Rattus norvegicus: one gene and its partners. The protein of the gene in region 1 binds, or shares a complex with, the protein of each later gene. Links are inferred from orthologs where the notes say so. Each region holds a gene or a part of one and is shown in the gene's direction. Other genes may lie near its edges.

The links.
Region 2: Gtf2e2 (region 1) and Gtf2f2 share a complex: the UniProt entries of both Homo sapiens proteins name them as parts of the TBP-based Pol II pre-initiation complex. The link is inferred for Rattus norvegicus from reciprocal best matches to the Homo sapiens genes GTF2E2 and GTF2F2.
Region 3: Gtf2e2 (region 1) and Polr2g share a complex: the UniProt entries of both Homo sapiens proteins name them as parts of the TBP-based Pol II pre-initiation complex. The link is inferred for Rattus norvegicus from reciprocal best matches to the Homo sapiens genes GTF2E2 and POLR2G.
Region 4: Gtf2e2 (region 1) and Gtf2f1 share a complex: the UniProt entries of both Homo sapiens proteins name them as parts of the TBP-based Pol II pre-initiation complex. The link is inferred for Rattus norvegicus from reciprocal best matches to the Homo sapiens genes GTF2E2 and GTF2F1.
Region 5: Gtf2e2 (region 1) and Ercc2 share a complex: the UniProt entries of both Homo sapiens proteins name them as parts of the TBP-based Pol II pre-initiation complex. The link is inferred for Rattus norvegicus from reciprocal best matches to the Homo sapiens genes GTF2E2 and ERCC2.
Region 6: the proteins of Gtf2e2 (region 1) and Gtf2e1 are in contact, whole or in part, in a crystal structure (PDB 5GPY), measured with the Homo sapiens proteins. The link is inferred for Rattus norvegicus from reciprocal best matches to the Homo sapiens genes GTF2E2 and GTF2E1. Residues at the interface, in NP_002086.1 of Homo sapiens: Asp159, Gln160, Arg161, Gly162, Leu163, Gly164, Gly165, Leu167, Leu190, Val192, Asn193, Arg194, Pro195, Ile200, Phe202, Cys208, Gln209, Phe210, Ser211, Val212, Asp213, Glu215, Phe216, Gln217, Leu219, Trp220, Arg221, Val223, Thr224, Val225; in NP_005504.2 of Homo sapiens: Arg16, Lys19, Tyr20, Val21, Arg23, Gly24, Phe25, Tyr26, Ile28, Glu29, Leu32, Arg39, Leu51, Leu52, Lys53, Phe54, Asp55, Gln58, Gly68, Asp69, Lys70, Phe71, Lys73, Thr98, Asn101, Val102, Val103, Lys104, Tyr105, Lys106.

The regions. Positions count from the first base shown.
Region 1 is NC_086034.1:65,124,802-65,128,301, reverse strand, and holds part of Gtf2e2 (transcription initiation factor IIE subunit beta), read left to right. Parts: exon of another isoform or gene 1-90; coding exon of another isoform or gene 91-156; intron 157-3,145; coding exon 3,146-3,253; intron 3,254-3,500. UniProt on the Homo sapiens protein: Recruits TFIIH to the initiation complex and stimulates the RNA polymerase II C-terminal domain kinase and DNA-dependent ATPase activities of TFIIH. Both TFIIH and TFIIE are required for promoter clearance by RNA polymerase.
Region 2 is NC_086033.1:57,733,678-57,737,671, reverse strand, and holds the start of Gtf2f2 (general transcription factor IIF subunit 2), read left to right. Parts: upstream 1-1,194; 5' UTR 1,195-1,306; coding exon 1,307-1,372; intron 1,373-3,994. UniProt on the Homo sapiens protein: TFIIF is a general transcription initiation factor that binds to RNA polymerase II and helps to recruit it to the initiation complex in collaboration with TFIIB.
Region 3 is NC_086019.1:215,118,857-215,123,078, reverse strand, and holds the start of Polr2g (DNA-directed RNA polymerase II subunit RPB7), read left to right. Parts: upstream 1-1,422; 5' UTR 1,423-1,496; coding exon 1,497-1,508; intron 1,509-1,620; exon of another isoform or gene 1,621-1,623; coding exon 1,624-1,733; exon of another isoform or gene 1,734-2,338; coding exon 2,339-2,498; exon of another isoform or gene 2,499-3,504; coding exon 3,505-3,555; exon of another isoform or gene 3,556-3,663; coding exon 3,664-3,729; exon of another isoform or gene 3,730-3,812; coding exon 3,813-3,884; exon of another isoform or gene 3,885-4,222. UniProt on the Homo sapiens protein: Core component of RNA polymerase II (Pol II), a DNA-dependent RNA polymerase which synthesizes mRNA precursors and many functional non-coding RNAs using the four ribonucleoside triphosphates as substrates.
Region 4 is NC_086027.1:1,937,398-1,941,327, reverse strand, and holds the start of Gtf2f1 (general transcription factor IIF subunit 1), read left to right. Parts: upstream 1-1,130; 5' UTR 1,131-1,256; coding exon 1,257-1,268; intron 1,269-1,354; coding exon 1,355-1,401; intron 1,402-2,657; coding exon 2,658-2,730; intron 2,731-3,930. UniProt on the Homo sapiens protein: TFIIF is a general transcription initiation factor that binds to RNA polymerase II and helps to recruit it to the initiation complex in collaboration with TFIIB. It promotes transcription elongation.
Region 5 is NC_086019.1:88,160,192-88,164,141, forward strand, and holds the start of Ercc2 (general transcription and DNA repair factor IIH helicase subunit XPD), read left to right. Parts: upstream 1-1,150; 5' UTR 1,151-1,180; coding exon 1,181-1,185; intron 1,186-1,400; coding exon 1,401-1,500; intron 1,501-3,950. UniProt on the Homo sapiens protein: ATP-dependent 5'-3' DNA helicase. Component of the general transcription and DNA repair factor IIH (TFIIH) core complex, not absolutely essential for minimal transcription in vitro.
Region 6 is NC_086029.1:76,686,435-76,690,631, forward strand, and holds the start of Gtf2e1 (general transcription factor IIE subunit 1), read left to right. Parts: upstream 1-1,397; 5' UTR 1,398-1,493; intron 1,494-1,532; exon of another isoform or gene 1,533-1,671; intron 1,672-2,051; exon of another isoform or gene 2,052-2,629; intron 2,630-4,197. Other genes in the region: Rabl3 (rab-like protein 3), read right to left, coding at 1,186-1,231.

The DNA.
Region 1 (3,500 bases):
CTGGGGATCGAACCCAGGGCCTTGCGCTTCCTAGGCAAGCGCTCTACCACTGAGCTAAATCCCCAACCCCTATTTTTAATTTTTAAAGACATGGTCTTACCATGTTGTTCTGGATGGCCTGGAACTCACAGAGATCTTCTGCCTCTGGGATTAAAGGTATATACCACTTAATGGGTTTTTACGTAGCATAATTAGAACAGCTTGGTAGTCCTAGTAAATATTTTTGTTACTTAAAGGAAATGGCTTCCCAGTAGATACTGCTTTAGCTCTTTTTTTTTTTTTTTTTTTTTTTGGTTCTTTTTTTTGGAGCTGGGGACCGAACCCAGGGCCTTGCGCTTCCTAGGTAAGCGCTCTACCACTGAGCTAAATCCCCAGCCCCGCTTTAGCTCTTTAAATATACATTTTTCCCCAAAATTAATAGTTAAGGAATGAACTTTGGGAGTCCTGAAGAAAATTACTTAGATTTAAATATTTGGATTGGGGGTGTTATTCTCTTTGTTTTTTATCTCACACTTTCCTGAGAACAGTGCACTCTTGGATAATACTGAATGGAGTTGAAGTACGTTAGGATTAGAAGAGGAGAAGTTGTTTAAAAGGGGAGCCGATCAGTTTTACAAAGTATATGAGAATTTGGAGTGTTGTAGGTAGGGCCAAAGTGCCCTGTGTCTGTGTGGAGGCATGGGAGGACAGTGTTGGTGATCAAACTCTGGGTTTTGTGCATGCTAAGCAATCATCTTTTATTACTGAGCACCACTTTAGGCTGGCCTCAGTTCACTGTCTAGAGGATGGCTTTGACCCTCCTGTCCCCAGCTCCCTGAGCTCCCAGTGCTAGGGTTATGGGTGTGGTGCCATGCCTAGTTAGGCTGTATGTGTGCTGGGCAGGCACTCTGCTCACTGAGCTATATTAGATTTTCTTTTTAAACAGTTTTTTGTTATTTTATCTTTGTTGCAAGGTCTGGTGTATGGACTTTGTAGATGACAACTGTGTCATAGTGTCAAAAGATTGAATGTGCCTGAATTTAAGCAAAACCCTTGCAAATTGTGAGTGGAAGCGGGCTGTATCCCTTCTTCCTTTCTCCCTCCTTTCTCCTAAGGCCTGTTTTTAAAGGGCAAGTGTGCATATCTAATAGAAAGTAACTTGTAAACTGGCAAGGTTTGTCAGTTGTCCTGTTTCTCTCCTTTTAGAGGATCTATAAAAGGAACTTCAAAAGCAAAATAGGTAAATATAACATCACAAATACTTGCAGTAGACCTCTTTAGTTGCTCACTAAAAACTATGGAAAGTTCAAGGAGAGTTATAGGGCAACCGAGGTAGATGCAGGGATTGTTGTAGTTCATTGCTTCAAGAGACACCATAATCAGTGCTACTCTTATAAAGGCAAACATTTAATTGATTTACAGTGTCAGAGGTCAGTTCATTATCATGCATCCAGGCAGATACGGTACTGAAGGAGCCAAGAGTTCTACATCTTAATCCCATCTTGATCCAGAAGGCAAGAGAGAAGATGAGTTCCGTAGTGGACAGAGTTTAAGCATAGGAGACTTTGAGAAAAGTCCTCCCCCTCCCCCTCCCCTCCAGTGACACACTTCCTTCCAAGGCCACACCTCCAAATAGTGCCATTCCCCATGGGCCAAACATTCAAACACATGAGTCTTCGGGGTCCTGACTATTCAAATCAACACAGTGATTTTACAGCAAGAAGTGAGAACCTCAGAGAAAGTGCTAGCAGATATGTGCGTGCATGTGTGAGCCACGCAGGGGCGCGCCCGCGCGCCCGCGCGCCCGCACGCGCGCACACACCCACACACACACACACACCATACTAAAATGTACACAGAAAAGACAGGTATAAGACCTTTGAAAATACAGAATAAATATAAAATATAGAATAATATGAAAAGATTGAGACACAAGTCATTCTCAGTCCTTAATCCTGCTGTCTTATCCCTGTGGTATCTTGTTCACCTTTTAGATGGATGTGTCCCATGAGAAGCCACTTACTTTAGAACACATTTCCCTTAACATCCAGGTGCACAGCGCGGTGACTGGATTAATCTTAGAATCTCACTGTCTTCTGAGAGGCCCGTTCAGGAGCCACATCCCCCACCTCTGGGTTACCACCTTTGGCATTCATAAGTTGGCAATATATATGTGTGTGTGTGTGTGTGTGTGTGTGTACAGTCTATCCCTGATCAGCTTTTGGATCTACTTACGGAAGTTGCCATCGGTGATCTCATTGTTTGTGTCCAGCCCATCCCTTTTACCACAGTGGAGGACACTAGAGGTGACCTTTTCTTGAAGCATGAGCGTACGACTATGGTCCAATAGTGAAATGGCCACACAGACAACTTCCTGTTTAAAAGAAAACAACTATATAGCATTTATTGTGCTGTAGCTAAATTAGTCCTCACCAATGGTCATGCTGTTAAGAGTGCATTTTGTTTCCTGTAAGGGTCGAGGTACTTTATATTGTGATAGTCAGTGAGAAAGCCTATTTCCTATGACGCATCAGACATTCATAGTTTTCTATCTGATCGTGAGAAGCATCTTGGCGAGTTGTCTGTTTATGTTTAAGGACATTTGAATTTCTTTTTCTGTTATCTATGGTTTCCTGCAAGTTTTGTTTAATTGATTTGCAATAACTAGGAAAGTCTGTTTTTGGGGCTGGGGATTTAGCTCAGTGGTAGAGCGCTTACCTAGGAAGCGCAAGGCCCGGGGTTTGGTCCCCAGCTCCGAAAAAAAGATCCAAAAAAAAAAAAAAAAGGAAAGTCTGTTTTTGCTGTCATCCTCCTCTTCCAGATCAATACATCTTCATCTTGTTATGTACCCTCTATCAGTTTTGAACTTTTATGTAGATTAGGCTAGACTTGAAGTCATCATTTCGCCTAGGCTGGTCTTCAACTTAGGACTCTCTTGCCTAAGCATCCCACATACTGCGGTTACAGGTGTGTACTCCCATACCTGGCTTAAAGTTGGAAAACTGATGTTTTTCCTTGTTAGTTTATCGTTTGACTTTTTACCAATCTGGTTTTGTATGATTTCATGTTGTTGATCCTGGTAGTCATACTGCCTCAGATATTACATGTTGTATATTCCTGAAAAGATCAGTTTATATCAGTTTACATATAAAACTTTCCTCTACAGACACGACATCAGCGAGGAGATACGCATCCCTTAACTCTGGAAGAGATTTTGGATGAAACACAGCACTTAGACATTGGACTCAAGCAGAAACAATGGCTAATGACAGAGGTAAGACGACTCTTAAAACTTGTAAAAATGGGTATTTGCTACATCTATCTAGAGGTGTGTGTGTGTGTGTGTGTGTGTGTGTGTGTGTGTGTGTATGTGTGTGTGTGTGAGTGGGGGAGGGAGGCAGGCAGGCAGGCAACGCAGGGTCTTTCGTAGTGTGTGTTGACTTCGGACTCAGGGCACTCTGCTTTAGCTTCAAGAGTCACCATGCTTGGCTCCGAGTGTTTCTTTGTTCTTTAAATAAATC
Region 2 (3,994 bases), on another chromosome or scaffold:
CTTTGTTTCTTTTCTACTTGTCTTTGTTTATAAGTAGACGTTTGCCAAATGATAGGGCCAGAAAAGGACGGGGCGGGGGGAGTATCTAAGGCACAGGTGTTGGTTTCAAAGAGGTAGTGAAATGGTAGGAGGAAGGGCCTGGAGTCTTCATGTAGGTGGATGGGATTGGTGTGGAATCCTGTGTGGAATTGTGAGAATAGGAGGATCAAACTGAGAGGACCCAGTAAAACACAGGGTAGAATTTCATTCCAAAGGCAAGTGCCAGAGGAAATTACCAAATGAAGACTCAGGAGGCAGAAGCTGTGATGAAAGCTGGCAAGCTCAGAGAGGCAGAGAAAGCACCCAGCTGACCTTCCTACTCTACCAGCTCTCCATGCACTCTCCAACACCCTTCAACTCAAAGTGCCTCCTTTCTCTTGCTTATGTTCACTCTCTGTCAGTTGGTTACTTGCTCTGCCTCTTGATCTAGGGTTGACTTTATTTAGCTCTGGGACCGAGGTGTGCGCACCAATACTGTTCCAGGCCACAAATACTTGTTTACAGTAAACAGAAAGTTCTGGGATCAAAGGCTGAGCCACAGTTATTAGCAGATTCTTCCAGTTCACAATCTCAGAGTTCATAGTGTGATTAAATATCCTGCAACAGGAAACTGTTTAAGCAGGGCAGTTAAATAATCAGATTTATTTCTTGCGTGGTGGGTCTTACTGACCCAAATAGATGGCATTTGGGCTTTGGCGTCTGAAAGAGTGTATTCTTCTTGCACCGTGTGAACTTATTTTTAAGTCTCGAAAAGGCATGTGTCCAGCATACTCACTTGTACCTTAGTGCCCACTTGTGCCAATGACATTGGGCCAAGAAAGTGACTTTTACCCCTAAGTCTGTCCTTTAAATGCCTAGCCTCTTCAGCTAGGGTTGGGTATGAATACATACAGTTTTTGTCTGTCTTAACCTTTTTTCCCCCATTTTTGGCACCTTTTCTTTAAATGCACTACTCAGGATTTGGTTTTTCCTTTCTGCACTTGGGTCTCAGGTTTGCATGTTGGCAGGAGTCACACCCACCTGAGAAATTGCGGAAGCAGGAAATTTGTCCCTCGCGGGACGCTGTCCGGACGTACCGTGCGCAGGCGCACTTCTTCATTCAGCGGCGTGTTCCTCTCGTCTTAAGTTTCTAGTTCCCGGCCGGTGAGCCACTCCGGCTTTTCGCGGTCTACTTGTCCCAGCGTCCGGCTCTGGACTGTCTATCGCTCTCTGACGTTCAGTCCCGGGTCGCTGCTTGTGCGCGCACGCCGCCTCACACGACAAACTTATGGCGGAGCGCGGGGAACTCGATCTGACGGGCGCCAAACAGAACACCGGCGTGTGGCTGGTGAAGGTGAGACGCGAGCCCCACGGGGCGCTTCCGAAAGTTCTGGGTCTGTCTTTCCCGGGCCACCGCTGTTCTGAGAAGCGGGTCGCTGTTGCGCCTGTTTGCAGGTTGGAGAACTTACTTTAGGGGCCACAGGGCATCTTTCAGTCTGTCTGTCAATTTCATCCGCCCACCATAGAACTCTGTTTACCGCCAAGACCTGGCCTTCCTGATGTTCCCGAGAAAGCAGTAAATTTTACCCCATGCCGGAAAAGCCCTTGCGGGTTTGTTTGTTTGTTTGTTTTTTGTCTTTGTTTTGGTAAGGTTAACTTTAGTCATGAATGTGTATAAATTAGGTGAGTAGATACACAGTTTTCTGGACCACAAAGTGGAACTGGTCCCTGTGAACTTTTGCTGTTTTGTTTTGAAACAGAATCTCTCTCTCTCTCTCTCTCTCTCTCTCTCTCTCTCTCTCTCTCTCTTCTCTTCTCTTCTCTTCTCTTCTCTTCTCTTCTCTTCTCTCTTTCTCTCTGTCTCTGTCTCTGTCTCTGTCTCTGTCTCTGTCTCTCTCTCTCTCTCTGCTGGTCTGGAAGACTTCTGTCGCTTTACACTGGTAAAGTGTTCCCTGAGTTGGTAATCCAATTGGAGTTTTCCACTGGTAAAGTGTTCCCTGAGTTGGTAATCCAATTGGAGTTTTCGAAAGACCTGGAAGTTCCGAATTCAAAGAGAAGTTTGTTGACTTAGTGTTTTTAAAGAGCGAGTTTAGGTTTCATGAAACTTAACCATCAGTAAATGTTTTAAACGGACACGTGCCAGGCTTTGTTTGCCCCAGTGGTCACCATCTATTTGGGTTACATTTTTTATATGGACTGGGGGACTATTACTCTGTGGGAAATCTCGTTTTAAAAAGCCGTATTTAAATGGGATCATCAACGTTTCCCAAAGTTGGTTTATCAATGATTTATCTTTATAGTGAGTGTCAATGTTTTAAGCACATGGCTGAGTTCTCATCAAGACAAGGTGTCTTTTCCTGTCCATTACTCTGAACAGCTCCCGTTTGCCAGTTCTGCAGACCATGTTAAGTTTTTCAAACCATTTAACAGTTTCTGGTGATTCTTTGTACCTGTACCCAGTGTTGATTGCCTCCACCTCCAAGTCACTTTCTTTGCACTTTGATTAGTGTTTGGCACATATTACTTTCCCAGTGTGTGATGAATATAAGAAATTGAAAAGGCTGTATATCAGAGAGACACAAAACTAAAGTGGGTGGGGGTTAGTCTTCTCAGTTTCATCAGATTAAGAGCTTATGCAGTTAGTGAAGCACACCTTTGGGTGTGTTTGTGGTGCTGTTTTCTGGAGGCAAAGTAGGTCATGAGGGCTATGATCTAATTAAGGGATTAGTTACTCCTTAGGTGGATTTGTAATATGGCGTCTCTGGGAAGTAGTGAAAGGTGGTGAGGTGAGGGCCTAGTTGGAAGAGGTAGATACTGGCGGTATGTTCTTAGGGCTGCCCTGGCCCTGTCTATATCTTCTCTATATCGTGGCCATTGCGATGTGAGCTTGCAGTGCTCCTCCTCGCTTTTCCACAGATAGAGACTAAGATACCCAGTGCAAAATAAATCTTTAATTGTTTCTGTCAGATATTTGGTCACAGTGACTAAAGTCTGATTAATACAAATAATACAGCAGAGGGTTGTAAGTAACAGGAGAAAAGAAAACCTACTCTCTTCCTTTCCTCTCCCTTCCCTTCTCTCCCTGTCTTTTCATCTTTCCCTTTCTCATTCTCTTCCTTTCTGTAGTTCAGGCTGGCCTGGAACTCACTGTGTAACCCAGGCTGGCCTTAAACTCATGGTAATCCTCCACCTCTGTGCGTTTAGAGCATCTGTGCTTCTTGCGTATTTATGTTAGATAAATAAAGCAGAGCTATCAAGTAGGTGCTCCTGTGGTGCTGCACACCTTTAATCTGAGTGCTTGAGAGGTTAGCCTGGTCTACATTTGTGAGTCAGGGGAATGTAGTAAGACCCAGAAGCCAGAAGAGGGCATTGGATCTCCTGGTACTACCGTTATAGCTGGTTATGAACTGCCATGTGGGTGCTGGGAGTCAAACCTAGGTCCTCTGGAAGAGCAGCCAGTACTTTTAATGCTGGGCCGTTTTTCCAGCTCCCATCAAACTTAAATATTCAAACCATTAAAAATTTCACACGCTATTTTGAGATACGCTGCCCACAATCTCACCTAGCTTTATTTCTGAGTCGTATCAGTATCCCTGGGTTCAGTTTTCATATCTGTAGACGGGGGAGAGTACATTTGAGTTTGAAAAGAGATTGAGGGGATGAATTTCCGATGTCTACAAGGTGTCTGACAGAATTGTCTCCTCAGCCTTCCTCTTTTCCAGCCTCCGGCATATCATCTGACACCCTTTGGTAGTCCAGTAAGTTAATATGATGAACTTACACAGAATCGAATACATAACAACCAGTCTTTCTTACTCCTTTTTTAAAACCATAACTGTAGTCAAGGTACTGCCCCACTCCCCCAGCCCCCATAATCTTGTTTCCCCTTTGCAGCCCCAACAGCTGTGTCTCAGTCCTGTATTCATTGTGATCATGTTATTATTCTGAGATTACTATGAGACAACTGGCACTCAAT
Region 3 (4,222 bases), on another chromosome or scaffold:
GGGAAAAAAAAGTTCAGGGCAAGCTTACTCTACAAAGCAAATCTCAGGTCATCCATGGTCACATAATAAAACCGTCCCTCAAATAGAAAAGAAAGTAAGCCCAGTGCGTGCCCACATAAGTAATCTTTTTGCTTGTTGTCTTTTTGTTTTGTTTAACAAGACACTTTCATTTTTTTTTTCCGGAGCTGGGGACCGAACCCAGGGCCTTGCACTTGCTAGGCAAGCGCTCTACCGCTGAGCTAAATCCCCAACCCCGACACCTTCATTTTTAATGTATCCCTGGCTGTTCTGGAACTCATGCTGTAGACCAGGTTGGCCTTGAACTTGAAGACCCACCTGCCTTTTGTTCCTGAATATTGGGATTTAAGGCGTGTGCCACACTTCCAAGTGACTTCTTCTTAATTAGGTGTACTCAATGATGTCTGTTATCTGTATGTGAGTACAAGCCCACAAGTGCTGGTACCTCCTGAGGCAATGAGAAAGTTTCAGATCCCCTTCGAGCTGGAGTTGTGAGACCTCGGGTGCAGTGTTAGTAATTGAACTCAGGTCCTCTTCGAGAGCTTTATTTTTATTTTATGTGTAAAAACCTTTATTTTTATTTTATATGTATGAATGTTCTGGCTGTATCTATGCCTGTTCACCACAAGGGAGAAGTGTCCATGGAGGCCCCAGATGGCACTGGATCCCCTAGGATTGAAATATAGCTAGTTGAGTTACCATGTTTGTTCTAGGAATCAAACCTGGATCCTTCGGAGGAGCAACCATTGATTTTAACTGTTGAGCAATCTCCCCAACTACCTCATCTTTATTTTTATTTTACAAGCATCGGTGTTCTGCCTGCATTATGTCTGTGTACCACTAGCATGCAGTGCTGAATGAAGCCAGAAGAGGGTGTCAGTTCTCTCTGAACTGTAGTTACAGATAAGATTGTGAGCTATCCTGTGGGGGCTGGCAAGTGCTCTTAAGGACTGAGCTAATTCTTCAGCCCCTAAAATAAAATTTAAAAAACAATTTTTTTTTCTCTTTTTCGGAGCTGGGGACCGAACCCAGGGCCTTGCGGTTGCTAGGCAAGCGCTCTACCTCTGAGCCAAATCCCCAACCCCAAAAACAAATTTTTTTATAGGGTTTGTATACACAGTCTTGGTTATCCTGGAACTCACTTTGTAGATGTGGCTTAGCCTTGAATTTAGAGATCTGTCTGCCACGGCTGGGTTTAAAGGCATGTGGCGACAAGCCAGACCTCTTAACCTTTTTTTTTTTTTTTTTTTTTTTTTTTTAAGGTTTTTCGAGACCGGGTTTTTCTGTGTAATCCTGGCTGTGCTGATGAGCGCTGATGGGAAGGCCTGAGGGGCGGGGCTTCACGTTTCCCCGCCCATGGCGTTAAGACTCAAATCTGCGGAAGCGACTGCGGAGACTTGGTGGGACTTCTGCTAGTGCTTCCGGCGAGGTCCCTTCCTGGGGAGTTCTGGCCTCTGCGGTCCAAGCTTCTGCAGAAGATGTTTTATCATGTGAGCTGGACGCGGGGTAGCGGTGAGGGCAGGGACAGGAGGAGCCTGGAGGGCCGACGGGTCGCCTCCTGTTCTCAGTGTGGCTGGCGGAGTCTTCATCTTCCTTTCTCTGCAGATTTCCCTGGAGCACGAGATCCTACTGCACCCACGCTACTTTGGTCCCAACTTGCTCAACACGGTGAAGCAGAAGCTGTTCACCGAGGTGGAGGGGACCTGCACTGGGAAGTAAGTGTCTGATTCACAGTGTCGTCTGCTGAATGCAGGCACAATAACGCTACTCTGTAACCTCTACTTCACTCCTTCAGTCAGGGCTTGTTACTTACTCTGAGGAACTCTTTCACCACTCCAGGCATCCGAAGCAGCCAGTTTTTGCCTATTTTGGGCCTTCTAAAAGGTTGCTAAACCAAATTTTCTTCGCTTATGCGAGATCAGACCGTTATTATGCAAATGTTTTGGGTTTCGAGATGGCCTCACTATGTGGACCAAGCTGGCCTCTAATTCAGAGAACTGCCTGCCACTGAGTGCTGGGATTAAAGGTTTTCGTCACAATTTTCTGTCTGATTTGTGGTTTTCGAAAGACCTGTCTCACCACTGACCTGGCAAGTCCTGGTACTGAGAGAATAGGTGTATGTCAGCATATCTGTGCCTTCTTGGGCATTTACTGTACAATTGTGAGAGCACCATTTAATATTTCAGGTGCTAATCTGAGTTCTGTCTCTTCTTGGTCATCGAGCTGTTCGAGCAGAGGTTCCATCACACGCAGACTATTGCTGGTGGCTTTTTAGAGGCTCTTCACATACAGTAGCTGTCTTTTTTCATCTTTCCTGCAGATATGGCTTTGTGATTGCTGTCACTACCATCGACAATATTGGTGCTGGTGTGATCCAGCCGGGCCGAGGTTTTGTTCTTTATCCAGTGAAATACAAAGCTATTGTTTTCCGGCCCTTTAAAGGGGAAGTGGTGGATGCTGTGGTCACTCAGGTCAACAAGGTAAGAGTATTATTTATAGAAAGGTTATGGGGTTGGGGATTTGGCTCAGTGGTAGAGCGCTTGCCTAGGAAGTGCAAGGTCCTGGGTTCGGTCCTCAGCTCCGAAAAAAAAGAAGAAAAAAAAAAAAAAAAAAAAGAAAGGTTACGGGGTATTTCCTAAGGTGAGAGTTCAATTCCCAGTCCACTTATTAGTTGCCTTAAGCCTTTTGTGGTTGTCAAGATTTATTTTATTTTATCTTAGTTTTGGGTTTTCTTTTCTTTTTTTTTTTTTTTTTTTTAAGGTTTGTTTGTTTATTTTTATTTATATGAGTACACTGTTGTCTTCAGACACATCAGAAGAGGGCATCAGATCCCATTACAGATGATTATGAGCCACTATGTGATTGCTGAGAATTGAACTCATGATCATTGGAAGAGCAATCAGTGCTCTTAACCGCTGAGCCATCTCTCTAGCCCCTGATTTATTTATTATACACACTCCTCTGTAGCTCTCTTCAGACACACCAGAAGAGGGCATCAGATCTCATTACAGATGGTTGTGAGCCACCATGTGGTTGCTGGGAATTGAACTCAGGACCCATGGAAGAGCAGTCAGTGCTCTTAACCACTGAGCTATCTCTCTAGCCTCAGAAATTAAGTTTCTTAAAGGCTAAGGGGTCTATAGCTCAGTGGTTTAGAGCACCTACTGGTTCTATAAGACCTGGGTTTGACTCCCAGCACCCAGCCAATGGCTCACAATAATCTGTAACTCCTAATTCTGCAGGGTCCCAATACCCTCTCCTGGCTTCCATGGGCACTGCAGGTACATGGTGCACAGGCACATGTGAGGTCAGAATATTCTTACACATAAAAATAATGAAGAACAAAAATGTAAAGAAATGAAAGATTACACAGAGAGAAATTAAAACAAATGCTACAATTTAAACTGTTAAGAAACATGAATAATGTGCCTAGAAATCAGGTAAAGATGCTTCAGAGCGTTTGAAGCACGGTCATTTTCCTTCTAGGTTGGACTTTTCACAGAAATTGGGCCCATGTCCTGCTTCATCTCTCGACACGTGAGTCTGGGCGTGTGGGGTGAGGCCGAGGAGGAGAAACCAGCCCCTGACTCTCATCCTTTGATGCAGCTATTTGAAATGCTAACCTTTGTGTCAATTTCCTTCTAGTCCATCCCTTCAGAGATGGAGTTTGATCCAAATTCGAACCCCCCTTGTTACAAGACCATGGATGAGGTGAGCGAATGAGGAGGAGTTGGTGAGAGGGATGAGGACCAGGCCTGAGTCTGCTTGATGACCCTGCTCTCTCCTTTCCACAGGACATTGTAATTCAGCAGGACGATGAGATACGCTTGAAGATTGTAGGGACACGTGTAGACAAGAATGACATTGTGAGTCTCTTGCTTGACTGGCCTGCCTTAGCCTCCTGGGTAGTAGGATTATAAATAATCCAAAGTCATCATTCACAGCTGACAGCTGTGGGTTTCTCGTTTCTTTTGTAGAACATATTTATGTGGATGTGTGGGCATACACACTCGCCACAGTGTGACATTTAGACCGCCTTCAGGTCATCGCATGCTGCTGTGGATTTTGGGGGTGGAGGTCAGGTCATCAGGGTTGGAGCAAGCTCTTTCCCCATCTGCGCTGTTGACCTCTTGCCATCCACAGTTGTTGGGGGCTCTGTGCTCTGTGTCCATGAGCAGGGAATAGATGACAGAAGGCTCGGAAT
Region 4 (3,930 bases), on another chromosome or scaffold:
TCTATCCTGCCTGCTTGTGCCTCTAGTCACACAACCCTTTCCTCTCCTTCACAGTCATGGTTCTTTGTTCTTTGTCCTTTTTGACTCCCTTTAGTCTTCCTAACCAGCCTTTGTAACTCACGGTGCGCTCCCCGAAAGTGAAGAAATGAATGTCTCCGCTACTAGATACATCAGTGGAGTCAGTTGTTTATGGTTCTGTAAAGACTAACATGGAATCACCATATCTCATCCTTCTCAGGTTCAATGTCTGTACCACCCTTGACCCTCTGAGGGTCCCAACTCCTATGAGTCCCACAGGCTCCCTTTTTCTGATTCCTCCCCCGAGAATTGTACTTTCCATCTCTGACACTGGCTCCTCTACTCAAGTTATATTCCAAAGGCATCAACCAATGGTGGGGTGGGAGCATGTGCAGATGCGTTCCTGTCGTGCAAGGGTTGGTGTGCACAATCAGGTGGTGGGATACCTGCCCACCGCCCCCTTCCGTTGCCTCATGTAGACCAACTACCCCATGTTGTTACCCTTCTCCTGGGGCCGTAAAGCTCTGCCCAGCTGGGGCAGCGTGGACTCGCACAGACCCATCCCGCCCGCAATGCTGGGGTACGCCGGGGCCGGGTCTCTGCCCTGCAACGACTCCTCGGCTCCGCTTTACGTCACAAGGGACTCATTTTGCAAGATCCTCGGGATCCCCTGACTCCAGGACACAAAAGAAAACGGAATCTCAGACCCACCCCAGAAGAGCCCCGGAGGCCATTCCACAGAGCGAGCCTCGGTTGCCATGGCAACGCGGCCTCCGCTCCCGCTTCTTGGACATTTACGCTTGCGCGAGAGTACCGAGGACGCGAACACCAGAAGACTCCATTCCCACCCTACCCAAGATGCTCCACGTTGCCCGCGTCTTGACGTCACGAAGTGACGTATTCTCACGTGATTATAAGTTATCCGTGATGTAAAAGAGAACACTGGGAGAAAGCAGCTTTATTTCGCTCAGAAGCTGGAGAAGACACAGACTAGGTACAGTGGTAGCTCTCGTCTCCGTGTGGCAGTTCTACTTCCGGGTCAGGCTGTGGCGCATGCGCAGCGTTCTAAGTCTCTTTTTTTTCTCGTCTTCCAGCATTCTAGGAGACTTAAGGGTTTGGAAATCCAAAGCACAGGATCACACTAACGTGACAACCAGGAAAGGTGCTTTCCCTGGGTCCGAGGGACACAACCAAGACCATCCAGGTCTGGCCGACCCGGAGCAGCTTGAGCAACGGCCATGGCGGCTCTAGTAAGTATGAATGAGGTGGGGATGGAGGTGTCGCAAAACAGACCCCGCGCCCTCTTCTCGCCTTACAGACTCCTGTTCTTTTGCAGGGCTCCAGCAGCCAGAATGTCACTGAGTACGTCGTCCGAGTCCCCAAGTAAGTCCCCGTCCATCCACACTTTAGAACCTCGGCCCTGTGTTCCCCTGCCACGCTGGCCCTACTGCCGCGTCCAAGACATAGTAATATGTCTTGGTAAATCTTGGTAGTTAATGTTAGGGTCTGTGACTCTGTCCTGTTTCAGACTGGTCAGGCCAGACATGGTGGCTGCCTTTAATCTCAGCACTTGGGAGGCAGAAACAAGAGAATTTCTTTGAGTTCGCGGTCAGCCAGGTCTATAGAGGGAGTTCCAGACCAGCCAGGGCTACATATCGTGAGAGCCTGTCTCAAAATAAAACAAAATTCCAAACTGGTCACAAGTAGTACACATCCTGCTTTCTGTGCCAAGTGCCATGGCCCTCAACTTCTAATTTTATCTTAGGTGGGCCTGTGGTAGGCAAGCACTGTACCACTGATCTACACCTAGTCCCCTTTTATTTTTTTGTTTATTTTGAAGACACAGTTTTACTGTGTAGTCTAGCCGGTTTGACCAGGCTGACTTTGAAACCCACTAAGACCCATTCACCTCCAGCCCTTGCCTGCCTGCCTTCCTCTCTACATAAAGGTTCTCTACACCTTTGGTTCATTTTTTTCTTTTTTCTTTTTTTTTTTTAAAGATTTATTTATTTATTATATATAAGTACACTGTAGCTGTTCAGACACACCAGAAGAGGGCATCAGATCTCATTACAGATGGTTGTGAGCTACCATGTGGTTGCTGGGATTTGAACTCAGGACCTCTGGAAGAGCAGTCAGTGCTCTTAACCACTGAGCCATCTCTCCAGCCCCCGGTTCATTTTTTTCTTAAGGATTTAGTGTTATCTCTGTGTATGCCTGTGTGTATATAGATGTGTGTTGTGAGAGTGCCTGGTGCCTATGGATCTTTATATGGGGTTGGATGAGATGGAGTCTTTAAAAAAAACAAAACAAAAACAAAATTAAAAAATCCCTGAGAAACTGGAGCAGTGGTTTTCAACCTGTGGGTCGCCTAAGTCCATCAGAAAACACAGATATTTACATTATGAATCATGATAGTAGCAAGCTTACAGTTATGAACTAACAAAAATAATTTTATGGTTGGGTCACTACAGCATGAGGGGGTCATAGGGGTATTAGGGGTCATAGCTTTAGGAAGGTTGAGGACCATTGTTCCCGAGTCTTTTTTGAGTTCCCAGAATTACCTACAACCAAGGGTGTAAATCGTAGATTTGTTGAATGGCTAATCGATGGATTGAATAGTTTCTTGCCCATTCCAGGAACACAGCCAAAAGATACAACATAATGGCTTTTAATGCAGCTGATAAAGTCAACTTTGCTACCTGGAACCAGGTAAGTGTATGCCTCTGGGTGTCTGGGGCAGAGACCTAACCCTGGGCTGGTGACTTTACTGAAACAGTAGTGCCCACACCTGTAGCCCCAGCAGACCTGTGATTCCAGCTATTTGGTGGCTGAGGTAGAAAGACTGAGTGTTTTAGACCAGCCTATACTAAATAAATCCTATCTCAAAGAGAAGAAGCTAGCCTGAGGGTACGGTTCAATTGATGGAGCACTCATCTGGCATATAGGAGGCCAGGGGGACCACCAGCGCCATGTATAATGGGCATGTTGGCTGGCACACGCCTGTTATCCAGCATGGGAAAGGGGATAGGATCTCAAATTGAAGACCATCCTTGGCTACATAGTGAGCTTGAGTGAAGCCCCGGATATATATATATATATATAGACCATGTCTATATGTATACTATAAAGTAAAGTAACGGGTAACAAGATGACAAGCAGGCCATGTCATGTACAAAAACAAATGCATTTTATAAGTTTGGAGTGTTTGTTTTTAAGATAAAGCCAGCAGGCCATAGTGACACATACCTTTAATGCCAGTTCTTGGCAGCAGAGTCAGTGGATCTCTGACTTTGAGGCCAGCCTGGTCTGCACAGTGGGCTTCAGAGCAGACTGCCTATACAGTGAGACCCTGTCTCGAAAGGATAAAACCATACCACAAGATGGGTACAGCCAGGGATACTAGCATCCCAGCACCAGGGAGGTGGAAGCAGGAGGATCATAAGTTTGAACAGCCTGAGCTACATAACAGGATTCTCTAGATAATACTAAGAGGAAAAAAGTGTTAAAGGCCAAAGTTTTAAACTACCCAGTATTCTGGGTGTCATGTTAAAATGTTACTATTTCCATATTGTCTGGGTTGCTCCTGAGCCTTCCTCGGGTGGTCTCCGTGATCTCATGGACCAGTCTGTTTTACTGTTGTAAGTCCCACATTCCTCATGACCAGAGTCGTGTGTGTGTGCATATGTGCATGTGGGCATGCTGTGCATGTCAAGGCTAGAGTGGACATCAGCTGTCTTCCATAGTCACTCTACACCTTATTATTAAAATGACATCTGTTGGGCCACAGGTGTGTGAGGGATGCAGAGTTGAGATCAGAGAAGAGTTTGCAGGAGTCGGTTCTCACTTTATGCTGTGTGGGTCCTAGGGCTTGAACTCAAGCCTCAGTCCTTTTGCAGGCTATACTTTATG
Region 5 (3,950 bases), on another chromosome or scaffold:
CTATCCTGACCCTCAGGAGTCTGAGGTGGGTGAGTCACGAGTAGGGGTGGGGGGTTGGGGGGAAGCCCAGGCTACAGAGTGAGCTCCTCCGGACCAGTTTGGGTTACATAGTGAGACAGTCTCAAAAGAGAGCAGGAGGGGGCTGGAGAGATGGCTCAGTGGTTAAGAGCAATGACTGCTCTTCCAGAGGTCCTGAGTTCAAATCCCAGCAACCACATGGTGGCTTATAACCATCTGTAATGGGATCCGATGCCCTCTTCTGGTGTGTCTGAAGGCAGTGACAGTGTACTCACATAAAATAAATAAATAAATCTTAAAAAAAAAAAAAAGAGAGCAGGAAGGGTTCATGAGAAGATTCATGAGGTAAACCGCCATTGTCTTTTGACCTGAGTTCAATTCCCACACATGGTGGAAGGAAAGAGCTGAACCAAATTCTGCAGATTTCCTCTTCCTTCCATAGGCCAGAGGTATTGGATTCCATGGAGCTAGTCCTAAAGGTGATCGATCGTAAGCTGCCTGATTTGGAGGTGGGGGGGTGGGGGCTGGAAACCCTAATCCTCTTCAAGATCAGAAAGTGCTTTTAACTACGGAGCGGTTCCTCCAGGCCCTTAATTAATGCATTTTTGTTTGTTTGTTTGTGAGCCTAAGCTTTAATATCTGAGTCATCTCTCCAGCCCATATTAATGAATGCTTAAAAAACACGTGGTAGAATCTTGCTAGAGTAAGAGTTCAATAAATAGGAGGAGCTGTTTTTAGGTTTCCTGTCTTAAGTTTGGATACCAGTATTTTATAAATCGTGCTTGTCTGGTACAATCTCGCCTTTGTAACTTAAAGGCTCCGAACAGCTTCCAATTCCTCTGTTATTTTCTCCTAAACTCTATTCCCGACTTGGACAACCAGGACAGAACCAGGAGGAGCAAACGTCAATGAACTGTAACGATTCTCTCGACATTCTACTTTCTGTGTTCTGTTCGAAGTCTTCGGCGATCCTCAGCGATGCCTTGGGCACCGCTTCTCTCCGGAGTCCGCCCTCTCACCGCTATGCGCACGCGCCAGTTTTCCGATTGGAGGAATGACGGGAAGACTCAGCCAATGGCATCGCGAGGAAGGTGGTGCTCTAGGTCACGCCCCCTCGTTGAATATTCAGGAGGCGGGCGAGTGGACGCCGGGACAAGCCGCCATGAAGTGAGATGGGGTCTCGGGAAGAGTGGTCGGCACTGCGGTGGGCGATGGGGCGGCCGGTGGGTGTAGCCGGGGCCAGGTCGCGGCGTGGAGAGGCTACGGAGACCGGTCCGGGTGGCTTCGGGGTCCGTGGCGGGGAGACGCCACGGAGGCGGGCGGGCGGCGCGGAGGCCGGGGCGGCTCGAGAGCACCAGGCACCGACGCCTCGTCGCCGCCAGGCTCAACGTGGATGGGCTGCTGGTCTACTTCCCGTACGACTACATCTACCCGGAGCAGTTCTCCTACATGCTGGAGCTCAAGCGCACGCTCGACGCCAAGGTGTGTGGTGAGGCCGTTCTCCTGGCACTCTGGTGGCTCCCGCAGGCTAACATCCTTGCTATCCCGCACCCTGAAAACCCAGGCAGGAGCATCGCTGCGAGTTTGGAGGCCAGCCGGGTCTGTACAGCGAGACTGTGTACTAAACAACAAATGTAATTAGCAGGACTAGGAGCCCAGTTGGTAGGGTCTTGCCTAGCTACCATGGATGAAACTCTGGGTTCCATTTTGGCACCGCATAAATTGAATGGGACAGTAATTACAATATGTTTGTAATTCCCGGAGCCGGGAGGCTCAGGAAAGATTTCTCGAGTTTGAAAGACAGCCTGAGTTTCATAGTGAGTTCCAGGCTAGCTAGGACTATATATAGGGAGACTGTTTCCAAAAACATTTAGCTAATAGGGGAGAGTCGGTTATAGCTCAGTTGGTAGAATACTTGCTTAGTGTGCCCAAATCCCAACACCAAATTAACACGGCATAAGATGATGCATACCTGGAACCCTAGCCCTGAGGAGGCTGAGGTGGGAGGAAAAGTGGAGGTTTGCAGCCAGTCTGGGTGAGTTCCAGGCTAGCCAGGGCTGTGTAGCCCGACCTTTAAAAAGATAAGGGCCATCAAGATGGCACAGCACTTCATCTTAGCAATCCTCCTGCCTTAGGTTCTTAGGTAGCTTGAGTGACAGGTTTTAATCACGCTGACGGGCAGAGGCTGATTGGTCTGTGTAGAGGTGTTCCTGGCAGTCACAGTAGTGGAGGGAAGGATTCCATATGTGGAGATCAGAGGGCAACTTTGTGGAGTTGGTTTTTCCTTCCACTTTTGTTTCGTTTTGGGTTTTGAGACAGGGTTTCCCTGGCTCTCCTGGAACTCAATGCATAGCCCAGGTTGACCTCAAACTCAGAGATCCACCTGACTCTGCCTCCCAAGTGCTGGGATCAAAGGCATGCACCAACACCACCCAGATATCCTCCACTTTAATGTGGGTTCTAGGGATCAAACTCAGGCTGTTAGGCTTGGTGGGAGCACCTTTACCTGCTGAGCTATTTCAACAGCCCTGAACACAAACTTATTTTTTTTTTTTTATTCTTTTTTTCAGAGCTGGGGACCAAACCCAGGGCCTTGTGCTTGCTAGGCAAGTGCTCTACCACTGAGCTAAATCCCCAACCCCAGAAACTTATTTTTTAAAAAAGTTTTTAATTATACTTACTTGGAATGTGTGTATACATGCTATGGTGTGCATGTGGAGGGTAGAGGAGTTGGTCTTGGGGATTGAACTCGGGTGATCAGGCTTGACCACAGGCGCCTTTACCAGCTAAGCCATATTGCTGGCCCACAAATGTATTCGTCCTCACAACCTTGCTCCAAGTAAGGCCTATAGAAGCAAGGATGTTGCAGTCCAGAGAGGTAAAGGTTCCTCCTGTCTGCTGCTCAGTAAACTCGTTAGCTGTGTCAGTAGGAGGGACACAGAAATAAGGTTCAGCCTGTAATCCCAGTACTCAGAAAGTGGAGGCAACAAGACTGCCAAACGTTTGCAGCCAGCCAGAGGTTCATAGTAAGTACTAGGCTAGCCAGGCCCTTGGGGTATAGGTGGGGATTAAGAATGAAAAATTTAGGGGCTGGGGATTTAGCTCAGTGGTAGAGCGCTTACCTAGGAAGCACAAGGTCCTGGGTTCGGTCCCCAGCTCCGAAAAAAAGAACCAAAAAAAAAAAAAAAAAAGAATGAAAAATTTAGGGCTTGGGGATTTAGCTCAGTGGTAGAGCGCTTGCCTAGCAAGTGCAAGGTCCTGGGTTCGGTCCCCAGCTCCGAAAAAAAAAATGAAAAATTTAGAAACATCCAGACCATGTCCAGTACAGAAGTCAGTGCTAGCAGCAGACCACTGAACTGAGAACAGGACCCCCTTGGGGGGAATTAGAAGAAGGAGATTGCAACCCCATAAGAACAACAATGCCGGGCTGGAGAGATGGCTCAGTGGTTAAGAGCACTGTCTGCTCTTCCAGAGGTCCTGAGTTCAATTCCCAGCAACCACATGGTGGCTCACAACCATCTGTAATGTGATCTTGGCGCCCTCTTCTGGAGTATATTCAGGCAGAACACTATATACACAATAAATAAACCTTAAAAAAATAAATAAATAAAAATAAAGAACAACAATGCCAACCAACTACATCTTTCAGGGACTAAACCACTACCCAAAGACTATACATGGACTGACCCAGGGCTCCAACTGCATATGTAGCAGAGAATAGCCTTGTTGGGGCACCAGTGGAAGGGGAAGCCCTTGCCAGAGTTGGACCCCCAGTTCAGGGGAATATGGGGGAGGTGGCAGTAAGGGGGATGGATGGGGAGAATACCCGTATGAGGGAGGCGGGGAGGGGATGGGGGTTTATGGATAGGAAACCGGGAAAGGGAATAACATTTGAAATGTAAGTAAAGTCCAGCAAAAAAGGAGGAGTGGGG
Region 6 (4,197 bases), on another chromosome or scaffold:
CTGTGGAGTCACTCATTCATTTAACTGTCTGTAGTTAATTATATAAAAAACCTAGGAAATCTCTTTGTGTGCTATAATTTATACACACACACACATATCATCCCTACTTATGTTTTATTATAAAAATGCTATTTTCAACAACTGAGAAGGTATAAAAAGCAAAATTCACCTTAGACCACATGATGTTTTTCTATGACCATGTTGTTACTGTGATCATATACAAAGTGTACTTACAAACAAACAAAGGAATCACCTGGGGCTCAGTGCTGGCCCTACAAGCTTGAGATCCCGAGTTGTGTCCACAGAAGTGACACACAGCGGCCAGGTATAGAGGCCTATGTCTGTACATCAGTGCTGGGGAGGCAGAGATAAGCAATCCCTGATGTTTGCTGGCCTGACAGCCTTAGCCTATTCTCCAGGCCAAGGGGAGAGCTTGTCTTTAAAAAGAAGGTTGGTGGCAGGGGTAGGTGTATATTAGTTTTAGGCCTGCCTTGTTTATATAGTGAGTTCTAGACCAGCTTGACATGCATAGTCAGTTCTACATTAGTCCTGACTAATTAGTGTGACCATGTCTTACCCTACAACCCCACTCCCCAACAACAAAGCTTGCGGTGGAACAGCTGGAAAGATGGTTCAGTGAGCATCTCTTGTTGCACAAGAGACCCAGGTTCAGTTCTCAGGTATGTAGAAAGTAATTAAAAGTAAAATCCATCTAATTAACATCTCACTGCGTGCTACTGTGGATTCGAACCAGTTCCTCTCATAGTTTTCATCTGTAGAATGGAGTTAAAAGTCTGATTTTAGAATTAAAGTTGTTAATACAGGTCAGTGTATTCTTAGTGTATATTTGACTCAATGAACAAAGTTTCCTGAAGGCGCGATCGCATCAAGTTCTGTTTGCTTAACAAGAGCAATAAAGGAATTGACAGTAGACTCTAGGTTGGGGTTGCCTGGGAGACCACCAGAAAGACAGAAAGACCGGGGCTCTGCGCCCCCACCTCCCGCCACGCCACCACGTCGACAAAAGGAGCAAAGTCCTCTGGGAAGTGTAGTTTTAAGGTCTTGAAAGGAATTTCAGCCGTGGACCCAAGCGCTAGGAAGTTGGTGGGTAAAAATACGAAATGTGAGGGGGTATCTGGAAGCTCGGGCTCGTCGGTAGTCCCAGACGCGGGTTAAGCTGCTCACCTGAGTCTCCCAATACCAGAACCTTCACTCGATCCAGGGACGCCATCTTGCCACGATTTCCTTGAGGTTGACGCCCCTTCCTGGATTCTCACCAATCCGAGCAGGGCTTGTGGGCAGGGCATATCATCTTATTGGTCGGTCAGAACGTGACTGATCGAAAGCTTCGCTGTGCGGATTAACGGGCGGTTTCCAAACTGGTCGCAGGAATTAAGCGTTCGTCCTTGTCTCGCAAGTGGCGTGGGCTGGCTGAAGCCGGTAGTTGAGGTGCTGAGGGCGGCTGTAGTGGGAGTGTTCGAGCATCCATTTGGGTAAACCTCATTCCCTGCTCCTTGTTCCCGGTTTCTGACCCGGCGTGGCTTATTTCATGGCTCCTCCTATCTGCCCCTCTCCTTTTCTAGTCCCCTCTCCTCGGCCACCTCTTGCTTTGGTCCTGTTCTTAGTCTTCCAAAGAACCATTGCCCCGGAGCGGCCCATGTGCGACTTCGGGTAGGACGGGCTTGGTGGCGTCAAGTGTGGCCCAGGAAGCCCCTGGGCGCGTCTGAGGGACTGTGGGGTCTCAGGGTTTGGACACGTCTGAACACAGCTGGTGGAGCCACCTCGGTCCAGAGCTGTCTCCGTCGTGGACCCCTTAAAGGACGAAGGGATGGAGAATTCGTAAAATACAGTAACAGAAAACTGTAGAGGCTCTGTAGAATCCACGTTCTTTTAGAACCTGAGAGGTAGTGTTTTAAAATAGTCTTAACTAAAAGGGCTTCCTGCACCCACTTTGTTCTTTTATCCCTTACTTTTCATCCAGTATGGTTTTTCAAATATCACACGTTTAATCTAGGAACTCCTTGCTTAAAGCAATTACAAGTTAAATTAAAAGTAAGAAGAATGGCTTATAGCTCTCATTACTGGGATGCAGGTGTGAAACAAGTGATTTGTGTAGAAGCTGGCAGGATGGGTATAGTACAAGAACACGTGCCCAGAGGATGTATTGAAAGTTGGATTTAAGTCTCTGAGTAGTTTATGCTAGGCGGTAGCATTGAACAAGATGAAGTCTCTGGTCATAGAGGTAGAAACTGCCCAGATTCTGAGGAAGTGTGAGGGAGAGCATTAGATGTTACTGTTGGGGATTTGGGAAGGCCAGGAAACGTTACTCAATGCCCAAGGAGGGTAGGAGAAAGGTTTGGGCTTAGCTTTGAGGACGGAGGGAACTGGTGGGTGGATATGAGGATGGTTATGCTAAAAGCAGAGTGGTTTCAACTATTGATTCTCTCAATTCCAAACCAGGGGCACAGTAGTCCTTACATGTTTTTACAATTAGAATCTAGGTCTGGACTGGGTAAAGTGAAGTTGTGAGATGTAAAAAGAAGATAATGAAGACCAGTAGCTACCCTACCAAGAAGTCTCCATAGACAGAGAAGTTGCTTTCTTGAGAGTCACTTCCCCTAGAGACTAGGTAATGCAGTAACGTGGGCCCACTTTTGTCATTTACTTCGGATCTGCAAGAGGAGATTTATAGGCACCAAGATTTTTAATTGTTGACAACCAATTCATAAAATGTTGAAAACATCCCACACGGGCTGTCAATTTCAGAACTTGATTTAAGGGGCTTTAAGAAACCCAGAGATTGAGCTGCCTTGTGTGAGTCTTCCAGGGAGGATGGTATTTTGTCAAAGACACTTCTGAAAGTGGATGGCCCTGCCTCGGGTCTATAAGAGTTAGTTCTCTTTAAGATGTTTTCTATTTCTTGTGCACAGTTCCTCCTTATGGCTTGACACAGGCACTTGTGTCAAGTTTTTTTTTTTTTCCTCAGTATATTGTTGGAATCTTTCTATTTTGTTTCTGTAACAAATTTCATTTATCTTGTCCTTGCAATCCCTCCCTTTCTTCCTAGGTTTAGGTTTTATGCCACAGCTCCTGATACAATCATAATGCTAACACTTTCAAACCAGCTCACTGGCATACACGTCAGTTAGATGGGGGCAGGGTGTGTTCTGAATGTCAGTACTTCAGGTGAACTCATATGCCAGCCCAGAAGCAGATGTGTTCTGTTAGTTATTTGATTTAATTCATATATTAACTGTGTGAGAAAGGCTCTTTAATCATTTTATATGTGAAGAGACTATGGATTTTCTGGGGCTAACACCAAGAAACTGACCTGGGATTTCCAAGCTTCAGACTATTGGCTGGAAGAGTCTGGATATGGTTCCTTTGTATTGACCTGAGGAGTATCAGACAGGAAACAGACCGAACAATAGGCACTGGGTCCTCCCCATGCAGATGTTCACTATTAGCAGGATCCACAATGGTATGGCCACGGGACAGTAGAGCAATCTATAGGGATTTTAAAAGTAGCAGTGCTCCTAATCCGACCCTTCTGAAATAGCTGAAACAACTCTTGGGAATGTTTTATGTGTTAGTGTTAGGATGCTTAAAAATGCTGCCTCGGTGACTGCTTTACAGTCAGGGTTGATAACCAATGTCTGGACCATACAGTGTCTGCGCCTGGGCTAGAGAGGAGTAAAGCAGTGGAAAGGAATACAGAAAACAATAGGCTATGCTGGCATTCGTCTGCCCTTTGGTCTTTTGCATGTTTCTGAAGCCATTATGTTCTATTCTGTCAGCTGCTGAGTTTGCAGAAAGCAAAATGTGGTTTGAAAGTACCTTGTGTAGAAAAAATTGGAAAGGAGATCAAAATGTATCTGGTACCATACTGGGATTCTGATGTGGCAGTGAACCCAGACATACTTAAATATTTGGGTGACAGAAAGGCTCTGGGGCTGTAAGGTTTAGACCAGTAAATCCAGGTGCTGTCTGGTTATCGCTGTGTATCTGAGTATTACAGTGCTGTATCTACAGTGTTGTGCCTGAGTACTGTAGTCTAAACTTTCTTTATATTTTCCCCTTATTGTAGATATGACCTTATACACGTGTACACTGCTTATTTAGAATATACTGCGGATATTATAACATTTCTTACAGGATAAAGCATAAAGTCTGATAGGATTGGTTACTTGAGAGTTC